Drosophila melanogaster: one gene and its partner. The protein of the gene in region 2 purifies or fractionates together with the protein of the main gene of each other region. This does not show direct contact. Each region holds a gene or a part of one and is shown on either strand. Other genes may lie near its edges.

Region 1 (4,764 bases), 7.9 Mb from region 2:
TTTGGGCTCCTGATGCCTTCCTGGCCTCGCCGATCTTCGCCACCTTGTCCAGCACAAGGCCATAGCCATCCTTCGCCTTGATGGAACGTCGCAACTTCTCTCTGTTTAACGAAAAACACAAATTAACAATGCGTAAGTTGCAAACTACAGGTATACTCACAAACGTTCGTCGATTTCGGGCAGATTTCCCTGGTTGGAGACGAACAGATCGTGGGTGCGCTTCAGGGAGCGGAATATCAGCGTGTGCACGCTGTGCTTCTGCACGTCTTCCATGGCCATTGTCTGTTATTTATTGCTTATTCGCTAAATTTGTTAAAAACGCGGCGCGGCTCTTGCAGCTGACCACCACAAGCCATACATAACAATCGGGCTATCGGTTATCGGACAGTGATGTCTGCTAGCTTGTTTATAGCCAAATGTTAATGCTACATGGGCATCCATTTTTAAAAGAAGTTTTATTAAAATTTTAAATGTATTTAAATGCAAATATCTAATATCTAATTGAAATTGTGTAATTGAATTATCTAATAATTAGAAAAAAATGATTTAACTTTTCACAACCTTAAGTCGAGATGAGAAATTGTGGGTCCTGAATTCAAAGTACCATAAAAGCCACAAAAACTGATAGTTTTTTCAGAATCGTTTTTCGAATACCCATCAAAGTGTTAACTTTATGCGCCCACCCGAGAGATTAAAAAACCAATACGTTGTTCTTTTTTGAAGCACATTTCTGTTTTTTTGTTTTGTTTTGTTTGTGTTTTTTTTCTGCTTATTATTAGTTTGCGGGAACCGGCGATCCAGATGCAAGAGATGAGGACGTGGGAGACACCGATGGTGACGAGGTGCTGGCCGCAGCTCCGCTTTCCGGGACGGGCGATGGCCTCGTGTTGAAGAACTGTTTGATCTGCAGATAAAAGATGGAGTAAAGATTAACCTATGAACTTAAAAACACCGACCACACCAGCCACAATTCTGTCATAAAGCATTATTTTTTTTTACCGCAACTTTGCGCATTTGTATGTTTATATCAGAATGATAAAATGCTTAATACTGTTTCTAATCAAACCCTAAACCACATTGGGAAGTACTTGAAATATTTAGGACTATCTTGACATATGAATAACCTATAAACATTAGCGAATCTAGAATGTTCTGAACATTAATTCAACTAAATCGTTGTTTGAGCCATTGCGTTGGGTTTAAGTTACAATGGTTTGCTAGTCTGATTAAAGATTTAACGAACTTCATTTCGGATTTATGACAGTTTGCTTGAAGGTGCTGCGGTTGGGCAATTGCTTACGATGCGCTTGATGTAGTTGCATGAAGTTTCGTTGTTCGAGCTGGACACCACGTTGTCCACTCGGTACGGCGGCGAGATGGTGACTTCATTTAGGATCTGTATGTTAAGTCCTTGCCAGGAGACTTCATTGTACTACAAAATAGTAAAAGAAATAGCAATGGTTAATGATGATAGGGCATCGTGCAAGAGGTCATTACCCCGTATTGTTTGGCTATCGCTCTATAGAGTTCCTGCGCCTCTGGACTGACATCAGCATTCTTAGACTTCAAGTAGTCCTGTCTTCGCTCAACTGTTTTCCTCAGACGCATTTTGACCTGTATAAGCAATATATATATATATATATATATATTTATGTAAGTGGTCAGAGCTGGCATGCTTACCTGTTCCAGATTAAGCTTTTGCGGATCATCAAAGTTGCCGTTGCACTCCTTGATCACCTGCACGTTGCTGCAGAGCGAGAGGTTCATCGCGTAGATATCACTCAGCTCCTCCGTGGACTTGGATCGGCATTCTATGCGGTTGGAAAGGGAAGAGAAGAGCAGGAACGGGGGGCAAAGATATACGATGTACGGAGAACCAAATTGTCAAGCAGTAAACAATGGGTTTGATAAGAGATAGGTGATATGTGAATGCTATCAGTTAAGATGAGTGTGAATTAGAATTATATACGAATCTAAAGGACAGTGTGACTTTTTGTCCAGACAGCTCAAGAGATCCCTGTGGACAGCCGGAGAAAGTGCTCGCTTTCACCCGGCGGGCAAGTTGTGTGTGTGTGTGGGTATGCATTTCGGGGATTTCGTTGCAAAAGGATACTCAGGATAAGCATCTTTGTGTTGTGATCGAAGGCCAGCACCTCGCCCTCCACCTCCTCGTTGAAACAGGTCGTACAGACGACTGTGGATCCGATGCTGAAGCAGTCGTTCACTGCATTCACTGCGCTCGCAGCGGCAGCGGCCATTTTTAATTGCTGGTTGAGATTGGCCAACTGGAAAAGTGCACCCACAAGCTATGTGGATAGGGGATTCGAATCTAGATCTAAATGTCGATACTGGTTTGTTGGCACGCCGTTGCTTGAACAACGTTTCACAAACAGCGATGGTGATGATGTTGATGATTTTGCGGCAGCAGCAGCTGTTTTGGATGCTTGAATTCCTGGAATTCTCGAAAGGATTTAACTAGCTCTCTCGCTCGCTCTCACTCTCGCCGTCTGTCTGTCTCGTTCTCTCGTGCCGTGCAGCTCACTCGCTTTCACTTGAACCGCTCTAATGGAAATGTCGCTTCCTGGCGATCTGGTCGAGATCCTGCTCCTGCTTCCACTGCCCCTGATCGTCGCGTGAATTGGCCAAAAACTCGCTGGTTACTCGCTCGACTAGCTATCGGCTATCTATTTTGGCGGCAATTGCGGTTCGGTAATTGAAAAGTTGGAAAAGTACGCGAAAAATTTATTGGTCAACACACGAAACAACAGCCAAAAGGGGGCAGCAGAAAACGCAGTGTTGCACATGCCGCGCAGCGATAGGTTCGATAGTCATCGATTACGGAAGTCTGGCAACGTTGCTGCAAACAAATCAAGTGCAATAATAATTTATTGATATTTATTTATATGTGAGTTCGAAAATGAAGACAGATTTTTAAGCTATAAGTGTGAAAATCCAAAGTTGATTGCATACTGAAAAGACAAAAGTAGATAATATTGACTTGTCTAAATGTTGTTGCAATTGAATGTTTCCTTATAAATCGTGCAGATCCTAATCGTTTTACCCCTAATCTCTTGATTAAGTTAAAGGTATTTGCTTAGAGCGGTTTTTCCACTAATAAATTGAAATATTTGGAAAACTTTTATTAAATACTTGTTGTGGCTACCGATAGCATATCGGCGCAACGTTATTTGGTTAAATTCCCGCTCCAGCTAGAGCTGAAAGTATAGGCAAATCCGAATGGGTTTCTCAATTTTTATATATTTAGCGCTATAACTTAATTCTGAGAAAGTAACACATATATTATTGTGCACATCCAATTCCTTGCAAAAATAGAAGTATGCCAGCATTGTTCGTTTTAAGGGAAGCCCTGCGGTTACTTATTTTAAGTCTTCATAAACCATAACCATCGATAGCAAATAAAAAAAAAGAATCGATAGTGTCTCAGAAAGGTACGAATTTCATGCCTCGATTGTAACATCGATAGTTTCACAGCTCCACTTGTGAGCCCAGCTCTAAAACCAAAAAAATTCCCAAGCCATAGTTTGCTTGGGAATTAAGTAAACAAATGGGCGAACCAAGGAGCCAACCACCCGTGGAGCGTCCACCGACCGCGGAAACCTTTCTGCCCCTCAGCCGCGTGCGAACGATCATGAAGAGCTCCATGGACACGGGCTTGATCACCAACGAGGTGCTCTTCCTGATGACCAAGTGCACGGAGCTATTCGTTCGCCATTTGGCGGGCGCGGCATACACGGAGGAATTCGGCCAGCGACCGGGCGAAGCGCTCAAGTACGAGCATCTCTCCCAGGTGGTCAATAAGAACAAGAATCTGGAGTTTCTGCTGCAGATCGTGCCGCAAAAGATCCGTGTACACCAGTTCCAGGAGATGCTGCGGCTAAATCGCTCCGCCGGCAGCGACGACGACGATGACGACGACGATGATGACGATGAAGAAGAGTCCGAATCGGAATCGGAGTCTGATGAATAGACGGTCATGCAGATGTTTATCTACACCGAAATTGAGTGGATGATCTCCATTCACCAAAACATCGACTGATTTTTTACGCCACCTTGCTATCTTTAATTTTAGACTAGACGATAAGTATAAAATTGTTTATAGAACCACTGATTAATAAAGAAGCATAAGAGCACTGCGTCCTCCAAATGACCATAAGATCCGCGGATGATTACCGTGTGTCTGCGGCTGATAAGATTGTTGTTTGAAATCAGAGTAAAGTAGAGCATAGTCAACCTCTTTGTGAGTTTACATGATGATCCTGGATATTCCCAGGAGAGAATGTGATCCTTAAGCTGACCTTGAACTAGAACTGCAAAAAAGGATAACCTAACTAGCATGCAAAACATTGATAGACGCGATTTAAAACGTTAAAGAGCATAACATATAATTGCACTTGGATTCGATTGGTACATTTTACTGCGGCTAAGGATAGATAGAGATTGCAGCTCCTAGACCTTCAGGTTGACGCCGGGATAGCCGGTGGCGTTCAGTCCGGTCACCTTGTAGGTGGTGCCAGCTGGAGCGGGCTGATCGAACTTGGCGGCAGTGGTCACGTACAGGATGTCCAAGTTGGGGCCACCGAAGGCGGCGGAGGTAATCTGTTTGGTTGGGAACTTGATCTCAAGCAGAATCTTGCCAGTGCTGCAATGAAGTACGACATTTAACACTCGATCACGAATGTTAGAGTGAACTACTCACTTGGGATTAACCTTGTAGATGGTGGCGCCATTGAAGGTGGCCACATA
Region 2 (5,236 bases):
ATAGCTGCTGTTGTGCCCTGCACTGCTGCTGCTCCCGCCGCTCGAGCCTGTTGCTGCACTGGACGTTAGTGCGGATGGGTTGATTGTGAGGCAGGATTTGATGGCACGATAAGAGATCTCTTCGTCGTACTCAGCCTTTTTGAGCATTTGCTGCAGGCGTAAAAGACGTGAAGCAGAAATATTTATACACACATATATATGTTGCACATACATGAGCCAAAACTTACCAGAAATCGCTCGCTCTTGTTCTTCCTGTCGCCAGGATTTCGATACCAGTAGGCCTCTTCGAGAAGTTTCTTCAATGATGCGTCGTCCAGATCATTAAAATCGCTATCTTCCCAGGTATCGTATTTTGTCTGCAAAAGCGTCGAAGAACAATATTTGGCAATTAGTTTTGCAATTTTTCGGGTCATCAACACGAACACATATGCGTGTAAAACAATAATCGCTGCGACTTAACCTAAAAAAAAAAAAACAAAAGAATTCGGAGCTCCACTTATTCCAAACACATGCCCTTCTGAGTTCCTTATGCGAACTGATGAAGTACCGACCGCAGAGCAATAGAAGTATTAAATGGCACACGGTTCCAGTAAGTAAACGCTCTACATACGCACACACATGTGTACTATATGGTGTTGCACACGAACACAAGAAAACAGAAAAAAAAAAAAAAAACAATAACTGAAATAATAACGGGAATAGGCGAGAAGTTTTCGTGGTTAATGCCGCGGATGTCACCAATGCTTTTATAAGATAAACAAACGCTTTGCGGTTTTATCCGTTCCTTCTGCCCGATTCGGGGTCTTGATTTCAATAATTATCGAAGGCGCTGGTCAAAAAACCGACTGCGATCAGAAATTGAAGTTCCTGTGTGGCGATTACTTGATGGGACCAAATGTAACGGCACTATTTCGAAAGCCACAATCCCAGTCAGTCAGAACGAGATAACAGTATGCTTGGTCTATTTCTACATCATTTTCGAATTCTTTGCCATTAACTTCGTAAACGGTACTTTGGCTTCTATTCGCATACATATATGTATGTATGTGAGTATGTATTCATTAGGGGGATGCAATTTGACTGTCAATATTTATTTTTTTTTTAATAAAATTCGGTTTTCGATAAAACAGTGTTTGTGAGTGAGTAATCGGCTCACTTAAAGTTTTTTCCAAAGGTCATGTTTTAAGGGGATTTCGGCATTTTCATTTTCGACAACTTTAATGGACCGCAAGCGTAAGAATCTATTTTAGTTTATAGCTTAGTGTGCAAATAAACAATATTTATATCTAATTTATGTATACCTTGGTTTTGGTGGTAACGTAAAGATCGGACAACTTGCTGTCCAATACTGGAATTCCACCCAAAATCGAAATTAGTTTCAAATTTTACGTTTACTTAGTTGTTTCTCAACTTAGTCGCCCTGGTAGAGCTCTATTCAAGCCTGGCCATGCATAAGATATGGAGTCCAAACACCATAGAGCTTTGGAGCCTCCAGAACGTACACAAATGTGAAATTTTGCGAGTAACAAACATAACTATACCTTTTTCTTAATAAAACAATATCTTAACTCGGTTTCTGCTTAACATGCACTATATTTCCACCTTAAGATGCAACTCAGCCAGAGCGCACTTACCTTTTTCTTCTTCTGTCGCTTGCCGACATTCTGATCGTCCTGGGTCTTGCCCTTGGCAGTGGCTCCGTACTGGAGTACCCTGCGGTTTGGTCGCGACAGTTCAGCGCTGGGCGAATCCTTTAGCATGGCAAAGACCTGCGAGAAGGACGTATCTCCTGCTGCTGCTTCTGCTGCGGATCCTTTGGCAGCGTCTGCCGTGGCTGCGTGGTTACCAGAGCTATGGCTATTACTAGGGGATGATGACTTCTTGGGGTCATTGCCTCTGCTGCTACTGCCGCTGGTGGCTACATGGTTGGCAGCCACTGGTGCCGCTCCTTGGCTGTCCTCGTCTTTGGCCCCCTGGTTCCTACAGGCCTCGTCAAGCTGCGCGTCTGCCTTCGCCACATGGTCTGACATCATGGTCATAAGCTGCTCCTGTGGGAACGGCGTCGGCGTTGTTTTGGTGACGGTGGTCGTCGTGGTGCTCTCGCTCATCGTGCCAGCGGCAATCGAGACGATGGGCGTGTCCGGTATGATCGTTGGCAGTTTGGCAGCTGCTCCACCAGATGCCACACGATCCGCCGGTGTGTCCGATGATGACGGCGTTTGTTCATTGTTCATCTTCTTTCGTTTGGTGGCATGCAACGAAGGAGAAAAACAAATGCCATTCGAATTCCTCGAATCTGTTAGGGCGTGTGAGAAGAGGGGAATGTTTGTTTTAGTAAACGGGTATATCTCGCATTCCCATTAACTGCTTACAAACTGTTTCTTCTCTTCGCGATGTTTCTAGGTAGCCCAGCTGCCCAGCCGCCGTGTGGTTGCCACCGCGACTGCAAGTGCTCTGCAGGCTGTTCCGCCGATTCCTAACGATTCCTCTCGACTTCCAGACGGTTTGAGGCACAGGGGAGCCCACCTATTGCGCATCAGTTTGGACTCCTGCTGCACTTGACAGGCCTGTCGTCAGTAGCTCTCCTCCGGCTCAAACCTTTGCTCGCGGCATTTACGTAGGTTCCTGGGCACGGGGATGCGGATTGCTCGCAAACAGACCGGAATACGGAAATGTGTGCGCACGGATCTGCAATTGATTGGGAAATGGGGATGAAGTTGAGACTAAAACTGAAACTGAGACATTGGACCACTGACTGGGTGTTTTGCAGCATTTGTTGTTGTTCTGGTCATGCGGACGAGCGACAAGGGGCGGTGGGTGGTAGCAGGTGCGTCTGTTTAGTCTTTGGCGACCCCTTGCGGCCCACTGACTTCGAATTTCTTTAAAAAGCACTGGTCTCTTTCCATATTCATTTTTTTTATTTTTTTTTTTTTTTGGCTAAAAAGCAGTGTTGCTAACTACGCTGCGTGCCAGGGTTGACAAATGCTGTTTGTTGTTTGTAGGGGCAAGCCGTTGAGATTGCTAAATCGGCGTTTGCTCTAGGCTTGCATCTTACTAATCAACACGAGATTGCCTGCCCGTTTTGCAACTAATTAGTGGGATATGCCCATCGAGTTGGCAGCCCTGCGGCTGTTGTCAGTGGCAACACTATCGCAAAACACGTCATTTTGACACAGCTTTTTCACCAATTTCCCGCTCAGCTCGTCAGCATTGGGGCACTGCGGCACAGTTGCCCAGCAGTTGTGGTCACAATTACCCAGTAACTGAAGTTTTCCGCGGATCACAGTAGTCATTTATTGATAAATACGCCAGTCGATGACAGCTGTATAACTTTCTGCGCACTCACACGAGCGCACACGAATGTACGCACCCACACACACGCACACAAATTTACGCCTGTGTACATTTCTCTGACCTTCTCAGCGTTTTTATTTTTTGGTTTGGCAACTGAAAAGAAGGGAGCACATAACTGCGCACTCAAGTTCTAGCAACTGCAATTGAGTCGAACGGTTGTGCTTAATATGTTACAGTTGTTTGTAAGCGGGCGAAATTGTTTAATTGCACAGTAGGCACATGAGAAAAAATACCGAACCCGAATTGAAAAACTCTCTGGAATTGTTGTTGTGTTGTGCAGCACTTTGAAAAGGCGACGCGACGCTGCGCAGCACTGCCCATGTCATCAACATTTTTAAACCGCTGATTCACTGTGGCGGTAATCGATTGGTCGATAGTTATTTACGTTTCGCTATCTGGCAATACTGCTGTTTTAGGAAAAAAAAAACGCGTAAAATATAAACAAATGAAAATTAACCACAAATATGAGTTCGACGACGATGTGGCCTCCATATGCGAGTCAACGGTGGGTTCCGCTACGCCTTGGCGTGTTTTGGGTGTTCATTCTAATGGTTTTAACCGCAAACTTGCAGGCCGCCCTAACCGAGGGATGTCGTTTACCCGTCAGGATGCACAAAACGGACGACTGGCCACTAGCGGAGATTGTGAGCATCAAGGAGTTGGATGGGCGCCGGCAGTTTTACGTGCACTATGTGGACTGTGAGTACCAAGTCGTCCAGTGGGAGCATATTTAGTATAACTGCCAATCCGCAGTCAACAAGCGCTTGGACGAGTGGGTCAACGAGGAGGATCTGTACACGCGAAAGGTGCAATTTCCGCGGAGAGACGGCTCACAAACAGGCACCAGCACTGGAGTGACCACGCCACAGCGCCACCATTCCCTAGCGGGCAGCGTTTCTCGGCCTACATCACCGCAACACCCTGGTTCCGGGGCTCTGGCAGCCATCCCCCAGACTCCTACTGGTGCATCAGGCAGTGTTCCTCCCCCTGCTGGCATTCCAAACTCTGTGGCTCCACCCGGAACACCAAGCAGTGGGGGAGAGCTTGTGAATGGCAACAATCTGGCCGCAGCCCTTCAGAAACGCATCAATCGCAAGCGAAAAAACCACGGAGGCTCGGCCCATGGACACCACAGTCTGACCAGTCAACAGCAGCAGTCACATCCGCATCCTACAACTCCGCAGACACCCACGGCTACGCCCGTGCATGTGACCGGCGACGGTTTAATAAGCGGAGCGGCCAATGATGATGGTGATGGATCGCAGGATGGCAAGACGCCCACGCCGAGGCAATCAGGCAGCATGGTTACGCACCAGGACGACGTGGTCACCCGCATGAAGAACGTGGAGATGATCGAGCTGGGCAGGCATCGCATTAAGCCCTGGTATTTCTCACCCTATCCGCAAGAGCTGTGTCAAATGCCCTGCATCTACATCTGCGAGTTCTGCCTGAAGTACAGGAAGAGCAGGAAGTGCCTGGAGAGGCACCTGTCCAAGTGCAATCTTAGGCATCCACCGGGAAACGAGATCTATCGCAAACATACAATTTCCTTCTTTGAAATCGATGGACGCAAAAACAAGGTGTATGCCCAGAACTTGTGCCTGCTTGCCAAACTCTTTCTCGACCACAAGACACTCTACTATGATACCGATCCGTTTCTCTTCTACGTAATGACAGAGTTCGACTCGCGCGGCTTCCACATAGTAGGGTACTTCTCCAAGGAGAAGGAGAGCACAGAGGACTACAACGTGGCCTGCATTCTCACAATGCCTCCGTATCAGCGCAAGGGCTACGGCAAGCTGCTCATTGAGTTCAGCTACGAGTTGTCCAAGTTCGAGGGCAAGACGGGATCGCCGGAGAAACCATTGTCTGATCTGGGTTT

Evidence for each region.
Region 1: the proteins of tyf (region 2) and Lsm12a purify together in Drosophila melanogaster (affinity purification with western blotting; one study listed by BioGRID). This does not show direct contact.

The regions. Positions count from the first base shown.
Region 1 is NC_004354.4:12,016,675-12,021,438, reverse strand, and holds Lsm12a (LSM12 homolog a), read right to left. Parts: upstream 2,800-4,764; 5' UTR 2,259-2,799; coding exon 2,114-2,258; intron 1,812-2,113; coding exon 1,681-1,811; intron 1,615-1,680; coding exon 1,498-1,614; intron 1,433-1,497; coding exon 1,301-1,432; intron 905-1,300; coding exon 776-904; 3' UTR 720-775; downstream 1-719. Other genes in the region: Tango4 (transport and golgi organization 4), read right to left, coding at 1-101, 161-279; Chrac-16 (chromatin accessibility complex 16kD protein), read left to right, coding at 3,566-3,988; regucalcin, read right to left, coding at 4,468-4,660, 4,718-4,764. UniProt on the Drosophila melanogaster protein: Component of the Atx2-tyf activator complex which functions in the circadian pacemaker neurons to activate the TYF-dependent translation of per and maintain 24 hour periodicity in circadian behaviors.
Region 2 is NC_004354.4:4,115,416-4,120,651, reverse strand, and holds the start of tyf (twenty-four), read right to left. Parts: upstream 3,103-5,236; 5' UTR 2,757-3,102; intron 2,689-2,756; 5' UTR 2,373-2,688; intron 2,297-2,372; 5' UTR 2,235-2,296; coding exon 1,635-2,234; intron 939-1,634; exon of another isoform or gene 357-938; coding exon 228-356; exon of another isoform or gene 212-227; intron 151-211; coding exon 1-150. Other genes in the region: Tip60 (Tat interactive protein 60kDa), read left to right, coding at 3,800-3,859, 3,927-4,053, 4,108-5,236.